Linked DNA regions of Drosophila melanogaster. The protein of the gene in region 1 purifies or fractionates together with the protein of each later gene. This does not show direct contact. Each region holds a gene or a part of one and is shown in the gene's direction. Other genes may lie near its edges. The genes, in order: UQCR-14 and UQCR-11.

Region 1 (11,697 bases):
TGAATACCTCGAGGCTCTGGACAGTCCGATTGTCTTCTCCCACAACGATCTTCTGCTGGGAAATGTGATCTATACGCAGAGCCTGAATACGGTGAACTTCATCGACTACGAGTATGCCGATTACAATTTCCAGGCCTTCGACATTGGCAACCACTTTGCGGAGATGTGCGGCGTGGATGAGGTCGACTATTCGCGCTATCCGAAGCGCGAGTTCCAGCTCCAGTGGCTGAGGGTCTACCTTGAGGAGTACCTACAGCGCAGCAACATTCAAAACGACGAAGTCGAACTGCTCTATGTCCAGGTCAATCAGTTTGCGCTGGCATCGCATATCTTTTGGACGGTGTGGTCCCTGTTGCAAGCCGAGCATTCCACTATCGATTTCGACTACGTAGGGTGCGTGTTGCATAGTATATGGACTGTAACTTTGAGTTGGGAATGCACGATGCAATTAGATGATAAATCCTTTAGATATATAGATATATATCATCAGTATATATATCAGTTTTGTTTGATAAGATCCATCAACAACCATTAGACGGCCATTATAATGGATTTATTATATTATTGTGCACCCTGCAATTCCTTTTTTCCCCCAATTACGACCCTTACAACCAATCGATACTAATGACCAATTTTTTATTCGCCCCATTTAGCTATGCATTTCTTCGTTATAATGAGTACTTGGCTCGAAAGGTGGAGTTTTTGTCATTGACTGCAGCTAAGAACAATAAGTGATTTCTCTCTCCCGGCCACTCAGCGCATTGGGAGTTACTACATTATGTGCCCAGTGATATATGTATAAACTAAGGCTGGAACGGGTCTCAATGTTATACATATGTATATATATAACGTGTGTTCAGAAATCAGAAACAAAAACCGAAACAAACTTAAATTAGTGTCGTGTTCGTGCCAGCCTTAGTGTATGTACAGTGCTCACTCGAAACAGTGGACTATTGAGAACCAAGGGTGTGCACTGAATCGAATTTGTTCACTATAACGAATCACAGAAAAAATAAACAATTTAATATATTTTTCAAAAACACCACGTTTGAAAAAATTTAATTTTTTTACTAAGTTAAGCGAAAGTTTCTAAAATTTCATAAATTAATCGTTCACTTTTACTAAAAAGTTCACATATTCGAGTGTTCACTCTTAAGGGAGGGCACTGTATATATAAAGAATTTGTATATGTTCTTTAATTTGTATAAATTGATATTTTGTAGTCATAATAAAGCGAAGGTATGTACTTTAAAATAAAAACGCTATCAATCATTTTAATGAAGGGTTTACCGTTGGCGGGGGCTTATCGCAAAAAATTGGGGAAATATTATTTAAATGAGAAGTAGGGATTTCCGCTTGTCGAAGCACTCCGCTAATTACCAACATTTTTGCCTTTTTTGTTTGCTGTTTAATATACAATACCCGTGTTGCAAGTTAAGTGAAAGTTGTATATCTTCAGGCATCATTTTTATAATTAATTTAATCGAGGTTATTGGTTAACATAAATTATAACTTAACCCAAATTAAAAACCTTTTTTGAGTGTTTCCCATAACAAATTACAAAAGGAGAAAGCCACAATCATTCGGTTTGATAAACTACAAGTATTTTGTTTATGAAGGCGGATTTTTACATGGGCTTAAATGGGTTTACAAGAATTTGAATTGATTTTATTTACTTTATACAAAAAGTTATTGCAAAATGACCAACTTTGGAGATGTAATTATACTGTAGTTCGGTTGCCGTCTCCACCAAGTTTTTGAACAATCTAAATACAAATACAAAAGGGTAAAATGTTAAAAGATAATATATTTAATAGCTCTAAAACTAAAGAATAACGAATTTTCTTGAGTGCGATATATCGATAGGTGCAGTGTGTCTGTATTACATTTCGGAAATCGATTTGTACAAACGCAACCGTAGTGCTCGTTGATCGATAACGGGGTGCGATAGCTATCGAGAGACCCATCTCCAACGTTCTCATACCTAAAATAAAAAGGCTGGAGGAATATCTCTTTCCCGACTTCTGATTTTACGTAAACCATGTCGAACTATATTGCCAGAAAGGGACCCGCAGTTCTCTGTAAGTAATACGAACGGGCAACAATCGGACTCACGTTGCATGCAACAAATTTCGTAGTGCAGTACGCCGGAATATTATGATTACGTAAATATGTAATGCGAATTTTTCCCCACAGCAAATCTGGGCAGATGGGCCTACAATCTCTCCGGATTCAACCAATACGGTAGGACTACTATATAACCTAGTGATTCCTAACAGCTGAGCTTGATGCCATCGATTTTTGCAGGTCTGCATCGCGATGATTGTCTGTATGAGAACGAGGATGTGAAGGAGGCCGTGCGCCGATTGCCCAGGAAGCTGTACGATGAGCGTAACTACCGCATCATGAGGGCCCTCCATCTGTCCATGACCAAGACCATTCTGCCCAAGGAGCAGTGGACCAAGTACGAGGAGGACGTCAAGTATCTGGAACCCTACCTCAAGGAGGTCGTGAAGGAGCGCGAGGAGCGTGAGGACTGGGAAAAGATCCACTAAACGCGCCACTAAATCCCTCTACTTTGGACTTGTAAATGTTGAAATACATAGCTTAGATAAATACCAAAATTGGCTATGAAATCGAGTCTGCGTGGTCGTTTGGGAATGTGGACCCTTCAGTTTATTTCAATGGGCTTTCGCGTCAAGGCGAGATGAGCGCGTTAAGTGATCATGAGTATGGGCTATTTGCTATGTTATATTTTTTATTTTTTGTGAGGCTCCATGCTACCTTACCTTTTGTATAAATGGTAAATTAAACAGCGATCCTAAAACAGGCACTCGGCCTAGGAAATTAATGGCCACGGGGAAGAAGCCGCTGAAAATATAAAGAGAAGGACATTAATAAGTAATAAGTAAACGACAAATCACTAAAAGAAGTTACTTCCACTTGTATTGCCATCTTGCACGTTTCGAAGTTAAGTTAAATTCTTATATTCACTGAATATTTTCCCTACTTTGAATAGATTTCCATTCATTAATCCGATATATATGAAGCAGACCTTTTAACGTTCGTTAAAAGATATTTTAATGAATAAAAAGACCTACATATATTAGGGTAATTATTAAGTTGCACCTTTGGTCGTAACTTATGAAGAAGCATGCAATTGAAAAGGTAAAAGGAGAGAGGTATAGATAGGAAAAAATGTATAAAAGGACAGAACAGAACAAAACAGACAGAAACAGCGAATAGTTATAATGAAGGACATACTTTTTGCTTTCTTTAGCTCTGATCAAATGCTATAAAATCTGATCGAGCTTTTTTTGTAAGCGAATCTGAAGAATTATACTTGGTATTTGCTGTTAATGCCACAGCGTCAAATTGTCCCATCTACATGACTTGCAGTCTTTCAATTAAAATATAAAATATTTCTAAAGGATGTCATCTGACAGCAACTTTGACTGCCAAGCCCTGACTTGCGAATGGTGTATTAAGAGCGGGAAAGCGAAAAGACCATGTGGAGTGCGTAACCGGTTAGCCCCGCTCAAATGGTCTTAAACGAATCCGACTGGGACTTGGCCAGGGTGCTACGAACCTGAAGAGTGCGAAAAATCCATAGGATTCAATAATCATGCCGAAGATGGGGAATCCCAGCAGGACGATGACGATTCCCCCTAAGAAGGCCGTTGTGCCTTTGACTTTGTGCCGTTGGAAGAAAAAGCGCATCGTGCGCTCCACGCCAATGACGCAGGCCAGGCCCGATATGAATAGAATCTGCGGGAAAGAGGCGATTGCTATTATTATAGAGCTCGAAGGGTGTGCTATATGGGGCATATGGTGCATGTGCATGTGGGTAACGTACATTGCCAATGGCGAGCAGTCCTTTATCGAACAGCAGCAGCATGCCGAGAAACAAAAAGAAAATGCCAAAACCAGCCAAGCCGATGCCAATTTCTGCGGGAAGATTTCAATAGGCGGTTTAGTTGCGCTGATGGCTTTCGCATATTAATGGCTACTTACTCTGCAAATCTGATATTTCAATCATTTTGTATTTGGCTCTGCTTTAATTTGATTTCAGAAAAAATTAAATCCACGTAAACACCAATTCAATTTCAAAGCACAAACAGCTGATTTCGACTTTCATTCAAAGTTACGTGCTAACGACTGTAAACAATGTTTGCAGGGATGCAAGCGCTTTAGTGTTGTAAAGCGATCAAGCTGCCGATTAATTATTTAAAACCTCTTGGATTCAGTCCATTTGGATGCAAATAAATGATAAAATGTATTAAATAAAACTATTTTTACCATTTAATACGTATTTTCCCACAAATATAATATTCGGCATATTTGTGTTCCATTCCCACACATTTCAATGATATATAGATAGATATTTCGATAGGCGCTACAAGACCCACACATACCAGCCCCCTTCGACGCACATCCCTAATTAATTTTCACACGCCATTTTACAATAGAATTTGTGACGATCTGACGCTTTCTTCAATTCGAGCAATTTGTACGCAGCGAGTTATTGAAACTCCTGCAATTCTATTGATTAAAAAAAGACTTCACGCAACGTTTATTAAACATGGAACGTAAGTATAATTTTAACACGCGCATAAGTCGCAACGTGAATTGAAAACGATGAAATATGTGCACTCTAGGTGGCGGTTATGGTGGTGGTTCGGGACAGGGATATAATAATTTCGCTGTCCCCCCACCAAATTACCAGCAAATGCCAAATAAAACGGGTAACTACAACGAGCCACCTCCGAACTACGGCAAACAAGGCGGTGGTAAGGCGTGCATGCGAACTTTGTGTTGCGAGCAACACACCAATACTCACAAACTTATGTTTTTAAGGTTATGATTCCGGTTCCGGTCATCGTGGTTCTGGTGGCAGCGGCAACGGTGGCGGCGGCGGCGGATCATGGAACGACAGAGGAGGCAATTCCTACGGGTATGTTATCCACTTTTAGTATTTCGCTGCTGTTGAGTTACAGCGAGGCTATTTAGATCATGGGTAGTAGTCTTTCACGGAGGTTTTTTAAGTGTTATAAGAGAAGTGTACGCATATATAAATATTTACAAATCAATCCAGCCAAACCAATGAGAAAAGACACCGAGCCACTCCTTGAAACATGAAGCGTATTTTAAAGATATTATTGAAATGCAAGAGATGCACTGTGCTGCATCAGAGTGTGAAACTGCTTGAAGCTATTCCTGCAACTACGACTTGTTCCGACTGCTTAAAAACGCAGAAAACATAAAATTATAACAACAAAAAAAAACGTATCTCCCAATTTGGCAAATTATTATTTATCCGCATGACTGTATTTCATGTACGTTTGTTTTTTTTTCATCGAAAATCTGTGTAAAAATATTAGAAAATGGTATTTCAAAATGGTTTTGACGAGTCAAATGAGTATAATGGTAAAAAAAAAAACAGATGATGCCCTGGGGAAACAAATATCTGCAATGCATAAATAATACTGGTTATACTGAATAAGTAATAATAAGTAATACCACAGTCGTTGCAATCGGAATAATAATGGTCGCCTAATGAAATCTATGATGAATTTGTGATAATTGCATAGAGAATCGCGCACATGTTATTATTATCGTTTTAAACCATACACTATATCATCCATTCCTGCCTTAATACGATACAATGCTAGCATAAACATGTTCCAAAATGAACATTCAAAAAATGTGTGTGTTCCCAACAGGATGGTTATGAAAACCAGATCAAACATGACACAAGTGTAATCGAAGATATAAAGCTAAAAAGAATATAAAAAATATCAACCAGCAATCATAAAATTAAATAAATTGTGGCTCGAGACAAAAACAATAAACAATAAAAAAATTCGATATATTATTAATGCACAGTTCGGAGGAATTGGTATGGTTCTGAGACTCTAATCATCTTAAGGTATTTACGTATACAAAAATAATAACAAATTTTAATTATTAGCTATTAAGGTTATTACATATGTTTATACACATAAGAAAGCAATGATTTTGCGCCTAAGAGAGAGCTTACCTCTAACAATCTAAATGTAAGATAGTTTTAAGCAATTTGTTTTATATAGTTTCAATCTCATTGACCGTTTTTAAGGTATTTTTTTTGTTTGTGATTTTAACAACTACTAAACTACTAAACTTTTGAATTATTTATCATTTAAGCTTGTTTTATAGTAGTTAAGCAAGAATGTAGGTATGTAGGTAGTGTTGTGTGTTTAATAACGATGGTATTTTGCTGCGATATACCTACTACATACATAAGTGTATTTAACTGGGTCGAACTCCTTCCTTCCCTCTCATTTCTGTGAATTTGGTAAACAAATGCTTTTCCAATAGTAGACTAATGCAAACGTTAAGATTATGTGTATAAGAGTTAGGTGTATGTATGGCAAACAGTATGTACGTTGTCCTCCTTGGCAGTTTGATCAGTGACTGCCGCCGCACTTGGCTCTAATTTTGTGATGGAAAGCAACAAAACGGACATTCGCTGTTTGAACGTCGTCGTCACTGACCGAACTGTGCCGGGTGCTCTATAGATGGTATTAGATGCCATAAGATCGAACAAAGCAATACGTATTCTAACAAGGGATCCTAGGCGTATACCTCACCATACTGCATTAAAACCAAAATCAAAGCATTAAATAAGTTATTCAATATCCTCTTTTAGAAATGGAGGCGCCAGCAAGGACAGCTACAACAAAGGTAAAAATAATGCAAACAATTGCAAACATATCGAGTAATGTATACCAATATTTTTCTACATATTGAACTTGAATCTAAAATCGAAGTAGAACAACAAAATTTTAAACACAAAAAAGAAAACCCAAACCGATTAGAACATAAAAACAGAGTCTAATTCCAAACCAAAAGAGTAAATAATTGAATATGCATATTAAACAAACATCCTCCTTTCCTGGCGGCATTCTTTTCATTGTGGGGCCTTGCCCATTTGAAATTTCGTCGAAAAGTCCACGCATCGTTACCTATAAAGTGTATTTAGCGTACTTTTCCAAATCGTTGATCTCTGTTTGATCAATATATAATGGTTAACGACCGACTCGGTCAGCCCACGGGTATTTAGTATTTAATTTCTGTAAAGTGTTGTATACATGTGTCAAAGCGTTGTCACGAATCAAATCAAGGGTTGGTCGGTCGGGCTAACTCCTGGCAATTTGGGGTCACCTGTTTGTGTTCTTGTGTACCAGTCAGTCTGGCTTTGATAGCTCAAAAGCCGACCGAAACCCGTTCAAAGTGTCCCCATGTCGTCTCTCCCACGGTCGTCCACCCACTAAAGGTTTTTTGAAATACACCTCAAAATTCTGGTTTCACATCTAAGTGTCCTGGTTAAAATGTCACGGAACAGCCGTCTACTTTGGTCCTCACCTTCGTTGCATTTTTTGGTGGTTGCAGTGAGGCGAGAAGTTCTAAGAAAAAAACAAAACAAAAAAAAGAAAATGAAAAAACCAAATATTAATTAAATAAAGTAGCAGTTGCATTCTAAGCTATACCCTGCCGTGCCAGCTCGTCCTTATTTCCCATTCGCTTTTGTAGGACACGGAGGATACTCGGGCGGCGGCGGTGGTGGTGGAGGAGGCGGCGGCGGTGGGTCCGGTGGCAACGACATGATCACCCAGGAGGACACCATCTTTGTCTCCGGCATGGATCCCTCGACCACCGAGCAGGACATTGAGACACACTTTGGAGCAATTGGCATCATCAAGGCAAGTAGTAATGTATTTTATGTATCTGTAGCTACGTTTTAACCTTTGTATCTTTCTATTCCTTTGCAACTGATCTAACAACAGAAAGACAAGCGTACAATGAAGCCCAAGATTTGGCTGTACAAGAACAAGGAGACCGGCGCCTCCAAGGGAGAGGCCACTGTCACCTACGACGACACCAATGCTGCACAATCCGCCATTGAATGGTTCGATGGACGCGACTTCAACGGCAATGCGATCAAGGTGTCGCTGGCCCAGCGCCAGAACAACTGGAACAAGGGCGGAGGCGGCGGCGGCGGTGGTGGTGGTCGCGGAGGATTTGGCGGACGTCGCGGTGGTGGTGGCGGCGGAGGAGGTGGCGGCGGCGGTGGAGGTCGCTTCGATCGCGGAGGAGGCGGTGGCGGCGGACGCTACGATCGCGGAGGAGGCGGTGGTGGTGGCGGCGGCGGTGGCAACGTGCAGCCCCGTGATGGTGACTGGAAATGCAACAGCTGTAATAACACCAACTTTGCCTGGCGCAACGAATGCAATAGGTGAGTTGAGAGTTGAGATATAATTGCTTTCAACATTCCATTCCATCATAATTCCTAAAACTCCACACTTGCTTGTAAATATCGTGGAGAACCCAAAGTGTAGACGAAAAACTTATCAGTGTTTGAAAGCAAGCAATTTTTGCTGATACGCCACATAATTGCCATAAGTCTTTATCTTTGGGGAACTACAAATTTTACAATCTTTGGCTTGCTACGATAATAATAATCACGTCCATTTGCAGATGTAAGACTCCCAAGGGCGACGACGAGGGCTCTAGCGGAGGTGGTGGAGGCGGCGGCTACGGCGGCGGTGGTGGCGGAGGAGGCTACGACCGAGGAAATGATCGTGGATCCGGCGGCGGTGGATATCACAACAGAGATCGCGGTGGCAACTCGCAGGGAGGCGGAGGCGGCGGCGGCGGTGGTGGTGGCTACTCCCGCTTCAATGACAACAATGGCGGAGGACGCGGTGGCCGTGGAGGTGGTGGCGGCAATCGCCGCGATGGTGGACCGATGAGAAACGATGGAGGCATGCGCTCGAGACCATATTAAGCGCATGGTAGCCAGCCGAACGCGGCACCTATTTTTTTCACTTTTACTTATTAATTGTAGCGAGAGTACGCTTTTAAATGTACTTTTAAAATTAACAGTCAGAGCAACTTTTAAATGATAATTGCCAGCACACGACTTCATTTGAACCGATTTTTATCCCAACACACACACGGTTATCGCTCGTTTTGACTGAATTATATTATATAATTATGTAATCTAATTTAACAACTGTAACTGTAACATGGTACATACGAATAAACATATATATATGTATACATATATAGCTCATATATATGTGTATATATATATATATATAGAGAAAATCAAAATCACTGCTTTGAATTCGGAAGTTGACATCATTCATTTCCAGCTTAGCTGACTAAGAAGGGGATTCCAAAGAATTCAATAAGTTCGCCTCGCCGAAATCTCCAGCGTAATTTTTAACAACAAAACGAGGAAAACTTGAAAAGTGACGCGTGCAATTTGTGGATAATTCAGCAACTGTTTCTTTTTGCAATAACAAAGGTGGTTAAATCCAGACTTTTTATTTTTAGAATTGCATTGAAGAGAATTGAGGCTGCTGCGCCCGCTATTTGCATGGATAACCGCTCACCTGCTGATCTGCTTTCAGAGAAGGTTGCTCATTATTACATTTTTGTATTATTTTCTTTTATTTTCAATATACATTATTATTATTATATTACAGTTCATCTTTTTCTAGCAGGGTGTAGCGATGCTTGGATGGGCCAAGTTCCTTGAATTTGGACTCTGGTGGCGATGTACCCTTGCCAGTGTGTGGGTCAGGTTCAATATCATTTGAGGGATCCGGCCCGTAATGAAATTCCCTGGAAAGCAAAGCAGCAGACCGTTTAGTAATTGAGCCCCATGGTGTTAGCAAAGGCGGCTGTATAACAATTACCTGTGCAGCTTGCCACTGTAGAGATCCTGAAGGAACTGCTTCAGCTTACCCGGCGAGTACATGTCACTGAAGTGGGGGAACAGATACATGTGCTTGAACGAGTCGATGGCAATCAAGGGCAAGTCATCCTCGGATTTACCCAGATGGTGCAGAGGATGCGCGAATCGCTTGCCATCGGCGGTCAAAAAGTTGACGTTCTCTGCAAAATTTCGAAAATACAATGTCAAACCAAATGCTTATATGCAAAGTAAACAACACGATGATTCATCTTACGTTTCTCATCCAGCAATTGACGCTCAATGATCGACTTGTAATCCTTGATAGAATTATGATCGGTTGGGTGGTGGAAGAGAATTAGGAACGGCAGACCCTCCTCCGTAAGTTCCTCTGCATTCTCAAATGTTATTTCCCGCACCAGGGGTACACACTTCTCTTGGACCCAAATTTTGAGCTCATCGAAATTTTGTAGGCTGCCAGTGTAGGTCTCATCGTTCTCATGAGACAGAGCTACATCAGGTCTAAATACTATGATAGGTGTACCTGTAATAGACCAAAAAAGCTGACATTCAGTATTGGCTTGGCATGACTTGGTGCGTTTGATAGAATTCACCTGGTGGATGCATGGCCTGGGCGGCATCTCCGAAGCCCACGTGGAACTGGCAGTCTTCCTTCAGATTTGTCGCCACCTTGCGGAATATGTCGTACTCTGGCTGGTCCCTACGATCGAAGTAGCCCAGAATGAGGCGCTTCTTCGAGTCCAGGTTCTCCAGATCCTTCAGGGATTTGAACTCCTGAATGGGATCCTCCAGCTGCTTCTTGACGAACTCGAGGAACGCTTCGGCTGAACGCTGTCCTCGGTATTCGCGCTTGCTGAGCTGCCCATTGCGTACAATTTTCAATGTTGGATACTTGTTTATGTGGAAACGGGACGCGATGGCCGTTTCCTTGTCGCAATCGACCTTGCCTAGCACCACTTTTCCAGCCTCTGGAAACTCCTCTTTAATCTGTAAGAGAAATTCGATTGAATGCCACGTATTTATTCGATATAAAATGTATATGAATGTATCGCATTGTTTGTAAGCTTTTACTGGCGATCCATTTGACTCACCTTATCTGCAGCTTCCGCGAATATAGGTGCTAAAATATTACTAAACCGACACCACTCCGCATAAAAATTAAGGAAAACCAATTCATTAGACGCTGCAAGAAAACAAAACGTGTTTTTAATGTAGGCACCAAATTGTGTGTAAAATTGTTGATGCGTAGAATACAACTCCGTTCAGATACTAAATATAATAACTTTTAAAAACATATATTTGGTAATATATTTATATCAATATTGAATTACGGGTTTATGTATTAATAATTTAAATGCATATGTATTTTTATGGAATATATTTAAATTTGTCGCTGAATATACATATTAAAGTCAAGAAATTTCTAGCATCCTACTATTCCATAACTTCCGAAAGTTAAAATTTAAGGGGTGCAAGCCTAAGGCCAGGCTTTACTGTAAAAGTTAACGTTTGGATAATAAAAAAAAATAACTTTAAAAAAACAATATAGTATTACCGCAGGATTGTGTACAGGACACACCGTATAAAAAGGACCTATTCATGCAAAGACCAAACTTCGGACATTCTGAGCAAAGAACTGCCGACCAATGGCTAGTGCCCATTTTGGCGGACTATCGGACCGATGCAGCATGAAATATAAACCGCCCTAATTAAGTTTTATCCAAATTCCACACCTTGTCCTTTACGAAAGCGCATAAAACTTATTTTACCACGTTGGCAGTGCCGAATTGAGCGAGCCAGTGATTTTGTTTAGTGACACGTCAATGGGACAAGTCGGCTAATTGATTCCCGCTCACGCTGGCAGCGGGAATGGCATGGGGATGACTGTGATGGTTATGGTATGGGCATATCTCACCTAGGGTCATATCGATATT
Region 2 (11,546 bases), on another chromosome or scaffold:
AGCAATTGGGATTGGGAGTTCCTATTTGTTTCGAATTGACATGGAAACTATAATTGACGCAACTAAATGTGGAAACTTAGCTCGGTTTATAAATCACAGTTGCAATGTAAGTAAGCTGGATGTTCTGACATTATGTTACCAACATAAAATTTTGTTTTTCAGCCGAATTGCTACGCTAAGGTTATAACTATTGAATCTGAAAAGAAGATAGTAATATATTCAAAGCAACCCATTGGTATCAACGAGGAAATAACTTACGACTATAAATTTCCACTAGAAGACGAAAAAATACCTTGTCTATGCGGCGCCCAAGGATGTCGGGGTACACTTAACTAATACTTATTTACAACAATGAATTAAATATTTTAGAGCACATAAATTTAATTTGTTCATAAAATCCAAAGTGGGGTACGTGTAAGTATATATAGTTTTTTTTATAACTTAAAACTATAATTAATTATTATAAAAATTATATCAACGAGGTCAGAGGTGCTGTTCAAAATGGTTTAGGTCTAAATTAAGCTAAAATACTTTACTTATAAAAACAATATGTATATACTAAAACCCATTTGATCTGTAAACACGAACGAAAATGCAATAAATACATTATCTTAAATTTAAAAATAATTTGCCTTTATACAAAAATGTGTTAAGCAGCTATTGTAAATCATGTTTGAGTGTTATTTGCATATCTAATTGAGCCTGAGCAATGCATTCCAAAGAATACTGCATTTTTTCTAGCAAAAGTTCGCCTTTTTGCACTACTTCCTCTAGGTCTCTTGCAGTTCCCTGGTTTTCGATCTCGAGCCTCTTAAGGCTAGAATTTTGGAGTTCAATGGAGCTGTCTTCATTTGGAAGAGACTCGATTAAGGTGTCGATGTCTTTAGCACATCGTGCAATTAACTGTGCAAATAATTGGGCATAGTCTTCTTGCGGCGGACATGGGATTGGCGTTTGGGGTCCAATGCGTTCAAAATTAACAAATTTACTTGGAAGGGACGTTTGTTGAATTACACCAATAGCATTGCAGAAGTGCTCCGCTTGCTGCAATGATTATTTTACATAAAAAACTGGTTATTTCTTAATACGAAGTCACTTACCTGATTAACGGTGTCTTGCAATTGTGTAAGCCGATCCGCCATTTTACTACAGAGTTAATAATTCTGAAAAACAAAAAATTATATGGAATTAAGTTTGATTAGCCAGTTCAAATTTTGATTAACATTTTTAATATCAACATAACATAATCAACATAATATCAACATACAATGACCGTTGGTGATTTTTATAATATATAAGCATTTATTTATCGATTGATTTTATGTCTTATTTACAGATACCTCACAGCAGCGACTATTCTCTTAAAAAAAGAAATGCTATTAATATGAGTTCCACACTAAAACGTGATTTCTTTCAATGAGACGAATTATTCTTGTTCACACTGTGCCATAATAATGTCTTCATTCCAACGATATAAACTACCATAAGATTGTCGGAAACAGTGGAATCTCCATAATATATGACCACACGTTGCACATCGATCCCTCTTGTCTTGTTCAAAATCATCACAATTTCGGTTATAACAAGGAAGCAGTTGGTCTCCAAGTAGTCTGCAACCTCTCTCACACAATCTTGGTATATCCTTGAGGAGGGTATATCGATTTCAGTTATAAGCTTGCAACGAAGTGAAAAAAGCATTTCAGTCCAATTAAGTGGGTATAAATATCAGTAAGAACAGCCGTACCCTTTTTCACGATAATTATTCTTTTAATTTTTAACATATCTAAATCGGTTCACCATATCTTAAAGATGTCATATGAAAAATTTTAAAGCTACCTCTCTTGTTTTTTAAAGGTTTTTAAAAGCAACAAAGATTTTATGATACGAACACTTTGTGCCTCCGATTAGTTTTCTTGTGAGGGGATTTGAATGGGTGGTCAGTTTTACTAGGTATTTTAATTTTCTTCTCAGTTATTATTTCGATAAATAATTTGATTTTTTTCTCTCTGTGTATGTCTTCGTTCCGAAGGTATCACGCTCTAGTCAGAATTCTCAGAATTGTTGGCTGTTCTCGCTGAATGGATGCCCCACAGGTCGGAGCCATAAGTCCAGATTGGTTTTAAGACGGAGTTGTATAGGAGAGCTTTGAACTCCACGCTAAGTGGAGAGCGAGCATGAGCCAGTGAAGGTTCCTTGCATCTTATTGCGACTTCAGTAGCTTATGTATGTTTTGGAACAATAGCTTGGCTAGTTTAAGCAAAAGTCCATCCAGAAACACTGTCAAATGCCTGCGCGACGTCTAGTAAAATGGCTGTGTAATATTCTCGATGCTCAAAAGCAGTACGAATTTCTGACGTGATTCGATTGGCCTGTTCGATGGTTCCATGTTTTTTCCATGACGAGGGCTTATTCCCAGGAGTAGCATTTTTTCAAATAAATTTTAGAGATAAGTTAGTTACTGTATCGGTCTATATGATGATGGCTGCGTTTTATCTTTTCCTGGCATTGGAATCATTACTATGGTAGATTTTTTCCATTTTTGAGGGAAGTATCCATGCTTGGCGATTGCGTTGAACAACAAGCACATGTGCAGAACATCACACTGGGAGTTCAATAAGGATTTTTTGAGTTATTAGGTCGAAGCCAAAATCGCTTCAGTTGCTTTTTGATAACCTTTGCTAATTCACATAATCTAAGTTTGCTTCTGCTAAAGGAGGGAGAATAATGACTTTATAGCAGGATTTGGTAGAAATAAAATTTGTAAGTGGTCAGCAACTGCTCTGGCTCTTTTCTCATCACTGTCTTTTCTCTACAAAAGGTTCTTAGTGCTGGTGGGCATACGTCACTTTGCACCCGAAACTAGAATATTTTCAACAGTGTCCGTTGACTTGTCTATATTTTCCTTAGCAGATAATGCCGGCGTTAGTTCTATGTGTGATCTGGGTCTGGGATTTTTCTTGGGTCTGCTGGTCAGTATGTATTGGATAGCGTGGTGGGCAGTAGACTGCGGCTAGAGTCATTGAACCATTGTTGAGTAGTTAGACTATGGACGTAGATTGAGGTGGTTTTTATGCGATTTCTGATTAGTATGCCAGTGCCTCCAAGAGCTTTACCATCTGAATGATTTGTGAGGTGCGTTTCTGATAGTAGCATTACTCCAGTGTTTTTTTCGGTAATGAACTGTGTGAGTTCTTGTGTATGAAGTGAATAGATATCCGTAGGGAAGCCAGCATGGGGATTTTGAAGATACAAGAAGTTGTATCAGGAAATTTTGCACGTTTTGATCGTTATGAAATATTTCATGCTTTTCTGTAGGGATAGCATCATAGCTTCAATGCCACTTTGTTCAGTTTGTTGCATATTTGTCAATTTATGTTCGGAATGAGCAGTTCTAGTCGGTGAGGCGGGGACTTCTAGTCCGGATTTTAAGGCGCTAGCGAAGAAAATTCCAAGAGTAGTGCTTGGGACAGTTAAGGGTGGTTGAAACATCGAATGCGGAGAGCAGAAATTGACTTTGTTGTATGTATTTGCTATACGTTAAACCACACAGCAGTATGCCTTGGTGTGGCCGTATTCTTGGCAATCGCCTTCTGCTTTTGTTTTGGTTCTTTTTTTACGTCCATTATTGTTGTTGCCAATGGTCGGTGTTGCAGAATTATTTACAGCTGGCACAGCGATTAGTTGGGCCGCTAACGAAGTTGTTGTTGTGGTAGCAGTGACAGTTTCTAGGGAGGTCACTGCACTTGTTATTGCAGTGTTACAGTTACCCGGAATGTTCGATTGTGGCTGTGTGGGGAGCGGTGTAGGAGAGGCGGTCTTTTCGCTCCGCGAGAGCAAAAGCTTGTTTTTCGAGTTAGTTGAAGGTAAGGGTGCTCGATCATCGAATTGCCCCGAAACGAAAGCAATGTATGCATGGTTGCGTTGTAAAGAGAGACGGCGCTCAACTTATGAAGGCATTATTGGCAGCTTGTGTTACCGCAATTGGCGATTCTAGTTTTAAGGCAGATGGTTCGTCAGTAAATAACTACTCGACTGACATTACTGCTGCCATTGCTTGCAATGTCGTTGAAAGTCAGTCGTGCCTAAACATTGACATTTTCAGCTGAAACATATTCCTAAATCTGACGCTCGCGGACCCAAAGTGTCATCGTTTTCTACCCATAGACTTAATGATTGGCGCTAGTCTCTTCTACGAACTGCTGTGCGTCGGTCAAGTCAATACCACATGCAATTCTAGTGTCTTTGGTCGCACCTACACCTTTGACTTGGAGTTCTGCTGTTTCCTCTGCAAATAAGTCGCTCTCCAATTATTCATCATATTCTTTAGTAATTTATGCATAAACAATACACGACAGCGCCACTCGGTCGGTTGGGCGGGAGGTGTGGCCGTGGGACCCGTGCAATTGATAAAAAAATAAATTATCGTTCGAGATCGCTGCATAGAAATCGTCTTTTCTTTGCAAATAGCTAATAGAAGAGCTTATTAGTTAAACAGTATTAGTTTTGTAAATTTCTAACGGTATTCCTAAAAACTTTTTGCCACGCCCACAAACCGCCAAAAACTGCCTCGCCCACACTTTTTAAAAATGTTTTTATATTATTTCGTATTAATATTAGTCTTTTATCGATTTTGCAAAAAAAAAAGTTTTGCCATGCCCACTCTAGCGTGAACAAACCGCCCAAAACCGACCTTACCATTGAAAAATGTTTGATTCTTCTTCGTTTTATTGTTTGTCTTCCGGCATTTTAATCGGCATACCAAAGACACTTTGGTCACGCAAACACAAACAAAACGCCCAAAACACACTTTTGAACCATTTTAGGTTTTCCTCATTTTTTAAAATTATTCTAGTGTCTTTGTTTACTCATGCGTCTCTAATGTCTCGAATAAACTTTGCAAAGAAGCATCGAATCTATTTTCTGTGCTTAGAAAAGGGACATATGGCGCGGTTCTGTAGGATTGATGGAATTTAGTTTACTGTGGGCTTACAATCCTTAACTGGTCTGCTATGGAAGAATTACGAGGTGAGGCTGACAGGCAGCTATAATATGAGGGTCATCAACATTGACAGCATACAGAGAAATTGAAAATGGCTATGTCAAGATGATACGTACAGTGACAGTGACAGTGTCTGCCACACTTCGGTGTCGAAAATCCAAATGAACCTACCAAAATACGTATAATCTACGTAATCTATAATGACGCAGCCAAGTCCCGGGATTAGGAGCTGCTTCAAGGTTTCTTGCAGTACACGTTCCTGTCGGAAGTGTGTGTACTTCAGGGAAGCAGCAGTCGGGGTCTAAAGATGGCCCAGGAATTGTCGACAGTCGCACTGAGGAATTTTATAAGCTGCCGTGGACCGGTGGCCAGATTGAGGAGTCAAAACGGAGAAGATGTAGAACGAACTGTCATCAAATTAAATGGAATGAAAATTTCAATGCCGGGCAGGAGGCGTATGCGAGCGGATGGTCCACGGGTTGAAGAAGGTACTCGCGCATACTAATAAAAAAATTAAGGTTAGTTTCAAATATTTTAGGTCTTTTTATTCTGCTTTTTACCACACTATGGTTCCTATTCAAATACAAATTACAACAACTATTCAATACAAATTTTATTTGTGTGTGTAATTTTATAGAGAACACGCATAGTTGTATATATCAATAAAGAAGTTTTCGCATCAGTTTTATGAAAACTTTCTATCACTTAAGCATATATTTATTTGATTGCTTTTAATTAGTTATTGTTTAAAAACTAGAGCAAAAAGAACCAAAAAGACAGAGAAGACAACTCTGGCCCACAACGAATTAGTAATTATTAATTTTCAGTAGATATTTTATCCACTTTTTTTATCAGCTTTTAGCTGATTGAATTTCGTTTTAAAAACACCACGTCATTTTTAAATGTTTGCCTCCAAAAACATGTATCAAGGGAATCAGGAAAAAATTATGAAAAGTTTTAAATAAAAGTTTATAGCCTAAAAAAAATTATCTGACCCCCGTCACGGCGGACAACTGGCCAAAAATTATTTTAATTGCTTTGATTGTACCTTGTGTGAACAGATTTTAACATCTAGGTAAAATTGCAAACGGTTCATAAAGATGTATTCTATTGGGGCTAGGCTATAAGCTTAGCTAATTGATATATATGCATAAAATAATCTGTTTTTGTTGGTCTGGCCCTCATAATTCAGGCATACATAAAATACATTGTGATTGCATCATAGCGGTCTTAAAGGTTATAGTTATTTTTCAAAAATGTAATTTACGTTCATATTCATAAAATTTGGTACTATATATGTTTTTGAATTCTGACTAGTTTATTCTCTTTTTAGCATTAATAATGGCTTTTAGGAACTGGTTTTCGCTTCCCGCCGTCAGAGCTGATGACGAAGAGGACTTAGTTGACCCTCAAGCAGTTTTAAGGGTAAAAAAGATTTCTTTACATCATTTAATATAACACTAAACTGATTTTTATGCAACAGGAAAAATGTCAAGCTAAAGGTCACATAGAATCCTTGTACAATAAGTACCAAGAGTGCAATGATCGTGTTAATGGGCGATCCAAAACAACTGAGACTTGCATCGAAGAATTATTTGACTATGTTGCTGAGTTAGATCATTGCGTTTCGCACAGTCTTTTTACAAAGCTTAAGTAAATACCATTAAAGTCAATTCCATTAAAGGGAAGGGCAGTGCTTAAAAATAAGAACATAAATAAACAAATCTCTTTATCGAGTTTTATACGTGTTTTGTGCCTTTTGGTGATCAGAACCTTTTAGAAGCGAAATTGGGTAGGTAATACTACACTAGTGGGCATAAGTATTTGCACGCCTTTGTTTTAATACTAAACCAAGGGTATTCTATTAAGTTGAGGGCTGGAATTTGAGGTGGCCAATCCAATGTTTTTATGCAAACATTTTTCAGAAACAGTAATCAGTTTGGTCTTATAACAGGGAGCATTATCATGCTGGAGTATGAAGGACTCTCCAATCAATTCATCATCATTATTATTAAGGACATCTAAATATTTTATTTGATTCATGTGTCCATCAACAGGAACCAAATCTCCCAAGACAGTGAAGGCTACGCATCCCCAAAACATAACAGACCCTACTGACTATTCTTTGACATTCTGGTGCCAGTTTTTTTCGATATTCCGATATCGAATTTTCGAAATTTAAAAGGTGGAACCATTTGCCCATGTTTTCCATTGCCAGCGCTTATGCAATGCATTTGCGCTGCAAATGTGTCTGTACGTATGTATATATTTATAATACATTGAAGTATTTGTATTGAGTAAAGTAATATGAGTTTACTGAGTGGGCTTCTTTTTTATTTTAGTTTATTTTTATTGATATTGTTTTCATTAAGTGATGCCATCAACTATGAATAAAAAAGTTTTAACGTGTAATTATGAACTACTTGTTTTTTGTTTAGTTACTTAATTTCATAACAAAACTATCTCCCACTGCTATTTTTATTTTGTTATGTGTAAGTCATTATTTTCATTATTCTTTCATTTATACTCTTCATGCATAGTTCTAGTTTTCTTATATGGTACTTCCAATCTTCATTTACTTTCCTTCTTTCCTATATGATAAATCGGCTGCTCTGCCAAAAACTATATGGAAACTATAGAACGGGTTGTATAAAACAATGTACGAAATTCTGAAGCCACAGGTCCCAATCAGTTTTATCAACTGATATGTATTCAACTGATAAGTTTTCAGATGGTGGTGAGCGGTAAATGTTAAATTTTTAATTTTAAAATTTTTGCAAAAATCGTTGATTATTGAGTGCTTATACTCTGTACCCATGAACGTTTTCAATGGACCGTAAGTCAGGATAAAGGATTCGAAAATTGAATTAGCGACTTGCGATCTTATATAGTATTGGTATTGCAACTAAATATTTAGTTAAGTTACAAATAAAGGTGACTGAAGACTCATTACCATTATCCGACTTTGGTAGAGGAGGACCTATATTACCCACTATTACTTTGTCGAAAGCATAGGGGGTTTCTGTTATTGGGGTTTTCCGTATGCTTAGTTATTTTATTTTTTTGCATTTTAGACATTTCTTGTTGTAGGTTCTGATTTCTTTAGACATACCTTCTAAGCCTTTGAAATGTCATATCTTGCAGTAATTGTTTTTCCTTGTTTAAAAAAACAACATTTTATTTACTATCACGTTTTCTATCGATTGCATATGCAAGGATGTTTTGTGCGTTCCTCCTGCGCAATATTTTTGACTACTTTGTAATCGTGAAGTGACTTTCATTATATTACCAGTAATGTCTTTTAATTCTTTGGTGGTTATTCTTTGTAGCGCATCAGCAAAATAATTTTCTTTTCCTCTGAGATCAACTGTAAAACTATATTCCCCCAATTCAAGTCTTATACGAGTCAACTTTGAAAACAAATTGGTGAGTGATCTACGATCTGCTTTGACTGTAAAATGTTTACCGTAAATATAGGGTCTAAAGTGGGTTATTGGTCAATGTATTGCTTTTAACTCCTGTTCCAATCTGCTTGTATTGCTTTCACCCTTTTTTACAAAGAGCCTATTGGCCAAACAACCAGCGCGACAGGCAGGTTGGAAAAGTTTGCAGTCATACGACGAACCAAAATTCGGGGGCGGTTAAAAAAAACCCCATTTTGTTAGAACTCCAATGTTTGTTAGAACTCAAAGTGGTTTCTTTAAACAAAAGCCACACAAAAGTGCAGGTAATGGGCAAAGCCAACTGGCGCTAGAGCCAATGGAAGTTGACCCCTCCTCCCGGTCCAAACAAACTACAAGATGGTAATGAGGGCGGTCAGCACGGTCTCAGCAAAGAAGATAATGACTTCGTTGCCCAAGCAAGCGCCATAGAAGTAGAGGACGAACTGGATGCAGAGGATCGTGAAATTTTTTAGGGTAAAGTTCCCTAACATTACACGTAGGGTGGCTGGAGGAGAAATAAAACTATTACTCGATACGGGCACCTCAAAAAATTATATTACTCCTCTCCCGGGACAGAAAAACCCTTTACTGTATAGTAAATCCATGGCCAAAATTAATTAAAAATGTCTTGTTTCGGTGTTTAACGTAAAAACACCCTTTTTTATTCTGAACAATTCTAATTCTAAACAATTCTAAACAATTAAATGCAAAACTTGATTTTACCAGAAATGTTCTAAATACTAGTAACGGAACTGAAAAGATCCAGTTTACTAGGGCAGAAAACGTTAGCTTCATTGAAATCGATGATGAAGACGTATTAAAAACTCCTTCGATAAAATGATTGTTAAAAATCACAAAGCCTTCGCTGACCCAGACGGGGCATTACCATTCAATATAAATACTATCGCCACAAATAAAACAGATGGGGAGCCAGTATATTCAAAATCATAGCCGCATCCCATTGGTGTGACTAAATTCATCAATGCAGAGGTTAAACAACTTCTAGCGGACTGTTTAGTAAGGTCATCTAAAATAACTTTACAACCCGACCTGGGTTGTAGACAAAAAGGGAACAGATCAAAACGGGGTAAAAAAGTAACGGCTAGTTATCAATTTTAGAAAACTAAATCAGAGAACAGTCGACGATAAATACCCTATCCCAACCATTTTAAATTTTATTACGACACTTGATCTTAAGTCATGCTTTCACCACATAAAGCTGGCAGAAAAGGACAGAGAAAAGACGGCATTTTCAATAAACAACGGCAAATACGAATTTTGTAGATTACCATTTGGGCTTAAAAATGCCCCAAGCAAAGGGTCATTGACGATGTCTTAAGAGATGGAATTTCAAAGATATGCTACGTGCACGTCGATGACTTCATAATTTTCTCCAAAACAAAGGAAGACCACGTTAAGGACGTGGATTAAGTTTTAAGAAAACTCCTGGAGGCAGGCATGCGAGTATCCCAGGAGAAGTCAATGTTCTTTAAAAAGAGCGTTAAATACTTGGTGTTCATAGTGTCACAATCGGTTCTACGAAATTCACCTGAAAGGGTCGAAGCCATAAAATAATTCCCCATACCTAAAACGCTTTTCGAACTCAGATCATTTCTGGAATTAGCAGGCTACTATAGGTGTCTTATAAAGGACTTTGCGACAATCGCAAGGCTTTTAACGAATATCCTAAAGGGAGAAAACTTAAAGCAAATCTTGAGGGAATATTTTTTCCCTAAGATGCTACGGTTAGAAACAGAACAACTTTGAACTGCAAGACGTGCTCAATGGCTAAATACAAATGTCATCCATCCAAATAAGCGGTAGCAGAAACACCGATACCTTCCTATGTGGGGGAAATCCTTCACATCGACATAATTTCAAAATATGGAACCCTTTTTCTACGTGCATTGATACATTTTCGAAATTTGCCACAGTGCAGGCCAAATTTCGAAAGTTTCTTTCCAAAAATAAAAACCATTTACTGCGATAACGAAAGATCCTTAAATTCCGAAACCAATGTTAGTAAATCATTTTAGTATCACCATTTCCAACGCCCCTCCTCTACAGAGCACCTCAAACGGTTAGGTAGACAGGTTTCATAGTACCCTGGCAGAAATAGCCAGATGGAAACCGGCCTAAATGGCACAACCGAATTGATTCTGTTCGCAACCAACAAGGATAACAATTCTATTCACTCGGTATTCTATCGGTTAATGAAAAACCGATAGAAATGGTCCACTCGAAGTCTGCGGAAATCGAAGGGAAAATCAGCAAAAAAAATTAAACAGACACAGAAAAAGACCCTTGACCAAGTAAATAAAGATAGAACCTACAAGGACTATCAAGTTGGTTAAAAGGTGTTCTTAAAAACCAACAAACGCCTAGGGGACAAGCTTTCCCCACTATGTTCGGAAGAAACCATAGAGGCAGACCTGGGGACCACGGTCCTAATAAAGGGGAGGGTGGTCCACAAGGTCAATCTACGATAAACATCTTCGCAAGATTTCTGACCCCGTCCAATCTTTTTTATATCTTTTCAGGTTACGGTATTCCATTCTAATTCTTATACTAACGACTGTTAGGACAGACGCGGCGGTACGACTTAGTGACTATACGAACGCAGACTACACCCCCGAAGAGGACAATAAAATCGTCATCTGGGAATCGTACGGATACTTGCAACACTCGACAAACAAGACAACGTACGAGAAATACGCCGACCAGACAGAGACAATGACAAGGACGCTTACAGAAGACCACCGGACACCAGTAATTATGACGGACTTGACACACACTCGCAAATTAGTAGCCACTCTAAGGTTCCACCATAGGGCTGCTAGGAGTTTAAATTTGATCGGGATGGTACTGAAGGACATCGCCGGTACCCCAGTCTTTAACGATTGGGAAAAAATAAAACCAATCAAGACCAGTTAACAAAAACAGAAAAAAACCAAACAGAATTAAATATCAAATTCCAAACACTATTGAATGAACTCGCAACAGCAATGAATCAAATTTCTAAAACTGAAACACACTTACTAGAGATCATTTTAGCTAAAAATAGAATTGTTATTACAGATTTGGAGAATATTCTTATGGGGTTA

The links.
Region 2: the proteins of UQCR-14 (region 1) and UQCR-11 fractionate together in Drosophila melanogaster (co-fractionation; one study listed by BioGRID). This does not show direct contact.

The regions. Positions count from the first base shown.
Region 1 is NC_004354.4:16,284,369-16,296,065, forward strand, and holds UQCR-14 (Ubiquinol-cytochrome c reductase 14 kDa subunit), read left to right. Parts: upstream 1-1,919; 5' UTR 1,920-2,041; coding exon 2,042-2,081; exon of another isoform or gene 2,082-2,196; coding exon 2,197-2,244; exon of another isoform or gene 2,245-2,307; coding exon 2,308-2,555; 3' UTR 2,556-2,620; downstream 2,621-11,697. Other genes in the region: eas (easily shocked), read left to right, coding at 1-393, 654-735; CG32576 (uncharacterized protein), read right to left, coding at 1,722-1,766, 2,790-2,871, 3,590-3,768, 3,857-3,948, 4,015-4,039; caz (cabeza), read left to right, coding at 4,583-4,589, 4,659-4,790, 4,858-4,954, 6,689-6,723, 7,573-7,742, 7,827-8,275, 8,518-8,827; ERp44 (endoplasmic reticulum protein 44), read right to left, coding at 9,528-9,672, 9,747-9,945, 10,020-10,286, 10,357-10,750, 10,855-10,946, 11,679-11,697.
Region 2 is NT_037436.4:25,114,562-25,126,107, forward strand, and holds UQCR-11 (Ubiquinol-cytochrome c reductase 11 kDa subunit), read left to right. Parts: upstream 1-6,187; 5' UTR 6,188-6,257; intron 6,258-6,316; 5' UTR 6,317-6,340; coding exon 6,341-6,424; intron 6,425-6,482; coding exon 6,483-6,656; 3' UTR 6,657-6,810; downstream 6,811-11,546. Other genes in the region: Set1 (SET domain containing 1), read left to right, coding at 1-106, 163-336; MED21 (mediator complex subunit 21), read right to left, coding at 658-1,044, 1,101-1,142.